Linked DNA regions of Coturnix japonica. The protein of the gene in region 1 purifies or fractionates together with the protein of each later gene. This does not show direct contact. Links are inferred from orthologs where the notes say so. Each region holds a gene or a part of one and is shown in the gene's direction. Other genes may lie near its edges.

Region 1 (4,431 bases):
CACCTGGAGTGAGGGGCAGAGACAGCAGTGCAGGTCTGGGGGCAGTTGGTGCTACAGCAGCAGAAATCCAGATGGGTTACTTTCCATTTGCTTGGAATTCATCTCTATAGCAACATTTACTGCTCTAAATAAGACTGTAGGTTATGGGTTTTGTTCTTGAGGCATTCAAATTTTATGTTAGGGAGTAACTAGAAAATACCTTAAATGCAGAATGTAGAATAATTCTTTTCTGGAATATCCAGTTGTAATTTGGAGACCAGTTCCTAAGCAAATATTGGCCTGTGCAGAGCATAGTTTGAATTTAGCAGTAATTAAGATACCTCAGGTTACTTGCTGCACATTCCTATGGTGGTTTTGATCCTGCTCTCTTCTCTTGCAGGTGTTACCACTGCAGGACAGAACTTGGCTCCTCGTCCACCTGTGGCTGCTCCTGCTCCCAGAGCAGTTCCCCCTTATAAATATGCCTCAAGTGTCCGCAGCCCACACCCACCTGTACAGCCTTTGCAGGTAACACAAGGATCTGTGCCTGAAGCAGCTGCAGGCCAACAGGTTTGACATGCAGCTGAAGAGTTTTTGCAGAAACAGCACAGCATCTATTTTTGCATCCTCCTGTCTGCCCTTCTATAGGCACCTCAGCCTGCAGTACACGTGCAGGGACAGGAGCCACTAACAGCCTCCATGCTGGCTGCTGCCCCTCCCCAGGAGCAGAAACAGATGCTGGGTAAGTGAAACTCAGGTTCTTCCAGATTGCATTTTACTTTGGGAATGTCCTGAGGTTTCATTGACAGCTTCTAAATTAAAACTGCTGTCTGAAATCCTTTTTTTTTTTTCTAGGAGAACGTTTGTTCCCTCTTATTCAAGCTATGCACCCCAGCCTTGCAGGGAAGATCACAGGAATGCTGCTGGAGATTGACAACTCGGAGCTGCTGCACATGTTGGAGTCTCCAGAGTCCCTCCGCTCAAAGGTAAAGCCGGCCCGTTCCCTTGTAGGCCAAACTGTGTGTCCCTTTGGTTGGGAGAGAATTCTTACTGGCTCATCTTCTTGCCCGCAGGTGGAGGAGGCTGTTGCAGTGCTGCAGGCTCACCAAGCCAAGAAAGAAGCTGCCCAGAAGGTGGGTGTGGTTGCTGCTACCTCTTAAGCCAGGAGGGCAGGTGAGTGTCTCAGTGCTCAGCTTCAATTCAAAGCTTCCAGGTTTGGTAAATAAAACCAGGCAGTTACTGGGCGTTGTTGGTGTGGGAGCTTGTCTGAGTGGAGCCAGTTCTTCAGAACATCTTCCTCCTTTCCCTGCAGGATGCAATGAAGCCAAACAGCCCCTGTCACAGCCCCTGTCACAGCCCCTGTCACAGCCAGCGGCTGGAGGAGGCTGCAGCCCTGCAGGACTCGATGCCACGCGCCGTATCACGTAGTTCTATTGCATTTTGTAATTAACCCTTGGGATCTCACCGAGCGACTCTGGCTGCCCAAAGCCTGGATGGAGTCTGTGAGCTTTTCCTTTGTGAGCAGAGTTTAAGTCTTTTCTATGCAGGACTTTGAAGGTTTCTGGTTGACAAAAGCATTTTGTGGTTTTGGTTTTAACGGCCCATGTTGGAGAGTTCTGGAAAATCGTTTGGCAATGGAGGAATAAAAACTTTCTCAGCGTTTGTCACGTTTCTCTTTAGTTTTGTCACTTTGGGCTGGTTCGGGGGTTCGTCCCTCCCCGCCGCCAGGGGGCGCTGCCGGGGCGGCGCTGGGCGGAAGGGCGGGATATGCCCGAACTTCCGGGGTGGGGCGGCAAGATGGCGGCCACCAAGAGGGTGCTGTACGTGGGTGAGTGGGGCGGGCGGCGGGGAGGCGAGAGGGGCCGTAACGGTGTTGTGGGCCATAATGCTGTGTGTCCGTAACGCTGTGTGTCCGTAACGCTGTGTGTCCGTAACGCTGTGTGTCCGTAACGCTGTGTGTCCGTAACGCTGTGTGCCGCAGGCGGGCTGGCGGAGGAGGTGGACGAGAAGGTGCTGCACGCCGCCTTCATCCCGTTCGGCGACATCACCGACATCCAGATCCCGCTGGACTACGAGACCGGTGCGTGGCGGGGCGGGGACCGGGATGTGACCGGCCTGTAACCGGGCTGTAACCGGTGTAACCGGGCTGTGACCGGGCTGTAACTGCTGTGACCGGGCTGTGACCGGGCTGTTTGCTGGCAGAGAAGCACCGCGGATTCGCCTTCGTGGAGTTCGAGCTGGCGGAGGTGAGGGGGTGGGGGTCGGGGTGTGAGTGTCTCCCGTTGGGGCATTGGGGCCTTTAGAGGCAGAGGGCGCCGTGTGTGTAACGGAGCCTGTCGCTCTTCACGCAGGATGCGGCTGCGGCCATTGACAACATGGTACGAGTCACACAATCACAGAGTCCTGGAGCCCTGCCCTGCCCTGTCCCCGGGGCTCAGCCCTGCCCGGACACTTGGTGTTTCTGTGCTGGTGACGCTGCAGACCTGCTGATCCCGGAGCTGTGATGCCGGCCCTGCTTTGCTGGTGCTGTTGGTGCTGCCTGTGGCTCAGTGCAGCTCCTGAACTGCGTGTAGTGCTCAGAAAAAAAACAGCCCCGTTCTCTGCAGAGGGGACACAGTGAGTTTTTACCTTGTGGTGGGTTTTGTGCTTTTTTGTCCTCTGTAGAATGAGTCTGAGCTCTTTGGTCGGACGATTCGAGTGAACTTGGCCAAACCAATGCGAATTAAAGAAGGATCGTCTCGGCCGGGTAAGTTGGTACCCCTCACCTGGGGGAGCTGCTGGCTCTGTCCCTGTGTCCCCATGATGTGGGGTGACCACATGCAGTTCTGGGGGTGGTTGGGCCAGCAGCACCCTGGGTTACAGTCCTGCTGCTTCTGGAGCTGTGCTGAGTCCAGAGTCGTGTATGGCCCTGGGCTCAGCGCCCTGCTCTCATCCTGCCCTCCCTTGCTGCAGTGTGGTCAGATGATGAGTGGCTGAAGAGGTTCTCAGGAAAGACCCTGGAGGAGAACGCAGAGGAAGGAGGAACAGAGGCACCCAAACCAGAGACACAGGAGGTAGGGATGGATGGAGCTGGTTGTGTCCTGCTGAGTGCCTTGGAATGGGGAATGGCCACATGGGGAACTGGGTGCTGTCAGCTTTGAGAGCCAGGAGTGAGCTGTGGCCCTGTCAGTCCCTGTGCTCCCAAAAGCTCCGTGAGCCCATAGGGAGCCGTGTGTTTCAGCTGCACCCTGCAGCAGCCCCCAGGCTGTGAGAAGCCTCCTGTTGCTTCATGCTGCCTCCAGGGACTTCTGGAGCTGGATCTGCTGCTGGCACTGTGCTGCAGGCTGGGGTCAGCCTGGCCATTGGGTGGCAGAGCTGAGCAGTGGCAGCATAGTGTACCTTCTCCTCGCATAGGGTGAGCCTCCTGCCAAGAAGTCCCGGGCCAACCCCCAAGTTTACATGGACATCAAGATTGGCAACAAACCTGCAGGGCGGCTCAAGATCCTGCTGCGCTCCGACGTGGTGCCCATGACTGTAGGTGAGCAGCGCTGCTGTCACTGTGGCCCACAGGCTGCAGTGCTGTGCTCACCTCTGCCCTTTGCCTTGAACAGAAAACTTCCGCTGCCTCTGCACCCAGGAGAAAGGCTTTGGCTTCAAGGGGAGCAGCTTCCACCGCATCATCCCCCAGTTCATGTGCCAGGCTGGGGACTTCACCAACCACAACGGCACCGGAGGAAAATCCATCTATGGGAAGAAGTTTGATGATGAAAACTTCATCCTGAAGCACACGGGACCAGGTAGGGTGGGGTTTGTGGGGCACCTCGAGCTGCTCTGACCACACAGCAGCAGCCCCAGGGCCGGTCTGTGTTGGTGCAGCACCTGGAGCAGACTGCAGTGTGCCCACAGCATTCAGTGGGCAGAAATGCTGCCCCCTATTTCTACCCCCACGCTGTTAATTTCCAGTCTCATATCATGGAGAATTTCAAAGCTGCTTTTCTGTTGGGCTTTATGGCAGGAGCAGTGCAGTCTAACTGTGAGCATTGGAAAGGTGGCAGAAAGCAAGCAGGCTGATCTCCAAAGCTTTGCTGTTGCTACAGTTAAAAATAGATTAATGCTCTCTACCACTTCACTCTGTTCATACCCGGAGGTGTTTCTTGGCATCATCAACTTCCCGCAGTTCCAATATTCAGAGACTCTCTTAAAGCCAGCAGTGTCTGCTCAGCCCGGGGGGGGGGGTTAGTTAATTATTGGCGTTGCTCCCAGTAATGCTGCCCTGTTTGGTCCCAGGGTTGCTGTCCATGGCCAACGCCGGCCCGAACACCAACGGCTCCCAGTTCTTCATCACTTGTGATAAAACCGACTGGCTGGACGGGAAGCACGTGGTGTTTGGGGAGGTGACAGAGGGCATGGACGTGGTGCGGCAGATTGAGGTTGGTGCTGGGGTGAGGGGGGCTGTGTGTGCCCACCCCCCAC
Region 2 (3,811 bases), on another chromosome or scaffold:
TCTTGTTCCAGTTATTACACAATATGGTCTCTTTTTAAAATATTCAATGTATAAAATTTACTGTAGTCATCTAATCTTTTTATATCTTTCATAAATTTTTTTTGTGATTACTTCTTCAAAAATTGTTAGCGTGGTTTTGTTAGATTTAGGTGGTAGTAATATGATGCTTATTGATACTATAGACAGATATTTGTCCAGTTTACTCTCTAGTAGTATTGGATGGGATTTTTTCACCCAAAGGGGTAATTAATATTAGCTATTACTGGATGACTAGTTACAATTAGTTTCTGAAATACAAGCAATGCAAAACAAAACAAATCAAACAAAAACAAAGAAGCGAACATTTCTCATCAGTTGAGAAACGAGATGATTCTTTGAATGACTGACAGCTGGAATATATGCTTACTCATCTTTCAGTATTATTATACAGACTTAGTTGTGTTTGATTGGAGGAAAAGAGGTTATTAAAACAGAGTGACCACCAGCATTCTTCTGGATTAATGCAAATGTTTTAAAGATAGCTTTATTTTCCTGTTTTGATTTACAGAAATTTCAAATGCATCCTTTAGGTTTCCCGTCATGAGCGACGAATATCTCAAATTCAGCAACTCAATCAGATGCCTCTGTATCCCACAGAGAAGATTATTTGGGATGAAAATATTGTTCCAACTGAATATTATTCTGGAGAAGGTATGATTAGCAGTTTAGTAAAGGCTGAAAGGAACAGTAAGTGCCCAAAAAGGCAACCTATGCTTATCCTGTCGTCAGAGTTCATGCAATCATATGGCATCTTTTAGCAAATAGAGTACTTAAAAATCTAAAAGTATGTGTTTACGTAAAGCTGCTTCTTTACTTATAGTCTGTAACAGATAAGCCATTCCCAGCAGTTGATATACCAATACAGGAGTCTCCTGGATATACATGCTGTGCCTGAATGTATCTGATCTTCTTATACGTATATTTTATATATCTATATGTATATATACACACACACACATATATGTATGTATTATATATCTATATTATATATGTCTGTGATATATATATATATATATAAATATATATATAAAATTTTTGAAAAAGTATATAAACATACACTAATGACTATATCATTTTGTTGCACCTGTTTCTGTGGTGTTCTGTAAATTATTAATAATCCTTTAAAGAGTTTTTATTAATGTAAAATGTAATGTGAAACGTAATTTTGGCAAGAAACAGAGATTGTTCACATTTGCTATCTGTACGTTGGTAGCACTTTTGAGAAGCACTTCTGTTACTGTGAGATGATTACAAATATTTTCTTGTTTTTCTTCTCTCAGTTTTAGTTTGTGTTTTCCGCTTTTAAGCTCAGTGTATTTTCCAGCATCATATTTCTTTTGTGTTCTTTAATACAGCTAAATTCTTCTGTCAAAAGGATGAAAATTATTTTAATTTTGTGCAGGTTCATCTAGAGAGAAATTGAAAATTTAGGGGAGGAAAGGATGAAAATATGTATTTGTTAGTACAGTATATCTACAAAAAGAGAAATTCTTGGAATCTCCTATAGTAAGAACTCCAGCAGTTATAGAATAATGTGTTTATGTATTTGTAGTTATGTAGAACTAAAATATTCATTTTCTTTTTTTTTTATTCATTAAATAACTTTTCTCTTCTGATCCTATCCTTCCTTAGGCTGTCTTGCACTTCCCAAACTGAATCTACAGTTTCTGACTCTGCACGATTACTTGCTAAGGAACTTCAATCTGTTTCGCTTAGAGTCAACTTATGAGATCAGACAGGACATTGAAGATAGCGTCAGTAGGATGAAACCATGGTAATATTTATTAAATGACCTGAACCAGTCAACTCAGCTTCAACTGTAAACAAAGTGCATTTGAGAATGAATAACTGATGTTGTCTATGTAGTAAATGCCCAGTAATGCATTTTAAATTATTATAAAATGCTGTGCTTTGTACTAACCTGTTCCCCATTCTGTCAGATGATGTCGCAAGAATAAGTTTGTATGTATACCTGTAGTCTTAACTTAAAGGACTTAATGCTAGAAGTTGGATATTAACAATGTGGTACATATTTTGATTCTGTTTAGATCTTAAGGGGATCATTTGGTGTGGTATCACTTATACCCAGTATTTGCTTTTTCTTATCCTACCTTTTTTCTCTCTCTGTCTTCAGTTTTATTAATAGCACTGGCATGTGATGTCTTGAAATATATTAAAAAAAAAATAAAAATCAGTTCATGTTATACAGTTTAAAAAAAAAAAATAAATACAGGGTTACATGAGTCCAATTCAGCAGCATGTAAAATGAAGACCCTTTTCTTTGAGTTGACTTTGGGGTGAATTGTTTCACACTTTAAAAGCCAAATCTGTTATTGGATAGCAACTAACAAAACTGATTTCTTGTATTTTGTTTGTTCGTGTTTTTTTTTTTTTAGGCTGTCAGAATATGGAGGAGTGGTCTTTGGTGGATGGGCTAGGATGGCACAGCCCATCGTGTCTTTCACAGTGGTAGAGGTTGCAAAGCCCAATATTGGTGAAAACTGGCCCATGCGAGTACGAGCAGATGTCACAATTAATTTGAATGTTAGAGATAGCATCAAAGATGAATGGGAAGGTACTTGTCCTATTCTGTAAACTAAGGTGGTCAAATAACTGCTCATCAAAATGTCCTTTGCACTGATTTTATTAATAAGAAAGGTTTTGTGACTGAGGTAGACTTACCTATCTTAGTATGCTTCAAAAGTGTGGTTTTGATTCTAAGAAATTTAGCCTTTTGTTTTTTAGATTTTGAAAGTGGCAGGGAATGTGATATCTCTCTAATAAAAACACAGTAAGCACTTATTTACTGTACAGATTGCAGAGCACTGTCTTTGTTTGCCTAGCTTGTTTGTGAAGTCTCCTCTATGGAGATCTTCAAAAGCCACTTGGACATGGTCCTGGGCAACCTGCTCTGGGTGGCCTTGCTTGAGCAGGGTAGTTGGACCGGGTAACTTACAGAGGCCCCTTCCAACCTCAGCCATTCTGTGAAAAATGAAGGGTACAGATCTTGAATTAAATCAAGTGTGTATGTTAGCAGTATTCAGTATATTTGAATGTATTTAAGGAGTGCTGAGTATACTAAATAATGTTTTTTCAAAGTATCTGCAAGTGACACTTTTTTGCTTGAGGAGCTGAACTTTACTTGACTGTGTTGGCAAGTGGCATAGTAGCATGTACTTGTATTTGGATTATCAGTAAATGTCACTTCATTTTTTTTTATTATTATTTTTTTTTTTAATAGAAAAATGTTAGTGAAATGTGCTGAAGCTGCACCATGTGATTACAGGTCACATAGCACAAATGCTGAGGCTGGAGCATGTAATAAACAAACAGATATGGAATATTTCCTTACTAGTAACGTTAGGATTATTATTGTCACGTGGAGGATGGAAGCAGACTTCACTATCTTGAGGGCAGTAAATGGCAGGTTTTAAAAATTTCTAGAAGTTTTGATTGAAGTAATCAGTTTTAATGACACTGAAGTGATCTTCAGCCTTAACTTAATTGAGCATCCAACTTGTTACGCGTGCCTGCAGAGCATTTAAAGAATTTGTATTGAACCTTGGGAAAGTCCCCAAAACTTGCAGTGTTTTAAAATAGCCTTCAATGTAAACAGGTTTCTCTGATAGTAACCTACCATTTTTTTTACTTGATGTCTTTGTATTTTCTGTTGTAAGAATGATAGAAACTATAGTTACTGTTATGTAATTATCTTGAAAATAGTCTTCTCATATGCTTTGATAAGGTTTATATTAAATAGCTAGCACTCCTT

The links.
Region 2: the proteins of PPIE (region 1) and AQR purify together in Homo sapiens (affinity purification with mass spectrometry; 5 studies listed by BioGRID and IntAct, counting the BioPlex papers as one, with this or other methods). This does not show direct contact. The link is inferred for Coturnix japonica from reciprocal best matches to the Homo sapiens genes PPIE and AQR.

Annotation. Positions count from the first base shown.
Region 1 is NC_029538.1:4,803,651-4,808,081, reverse strand, and holds the start of PPIE (peptidyl-prolyl cis-trans isomerase E), read left to right. Parts: upstream 1-1,554; 5' UTR 1,555-1,582; coding exon 1,583-1,807; intron 1,808-1,960; coding exon 1,961-2,059; intron 2,060-2,181; coding exon of another isoform or gene 2,182-2,225; intron 2,226-2,330; coding exon of another isoform or gene 2,331-2,357; intron 2,358-2,643; coding exon 2,644-2,725; intron 2,726-2,931; coding exon 2,932-3,032; intron 3,033-3,372; coding exon 3,373-3,496; intron 3,497-3,569; coding exon 3,570-3,755; intron 3,756-4,245; coding exon 4,246-4,388; intron 4,389-4,431. Other genes in the region: PABPC4 (polyadenylate-binding protein 4), read left to right, coding at 380-507, 628-721, 835-965, 1,053-1,139. UniProt on the Homo sapiens protein: Involved in pre-mRNA splicing as component of the spliceosome. Combines RNA-binding and PPIase activities.
Region 2 is NC_029520.1:29,052,489-29,056,299, forward strand, and holds part of AQR (RNA helicase aquarius), read left to right. Parts: intron 1-569; coding exon 570-690; intron 691-1,671; coding exon 1,672-1,813; intron 1,814-2,435; coding exon 2,436-2,614; intron 2,615-3,811.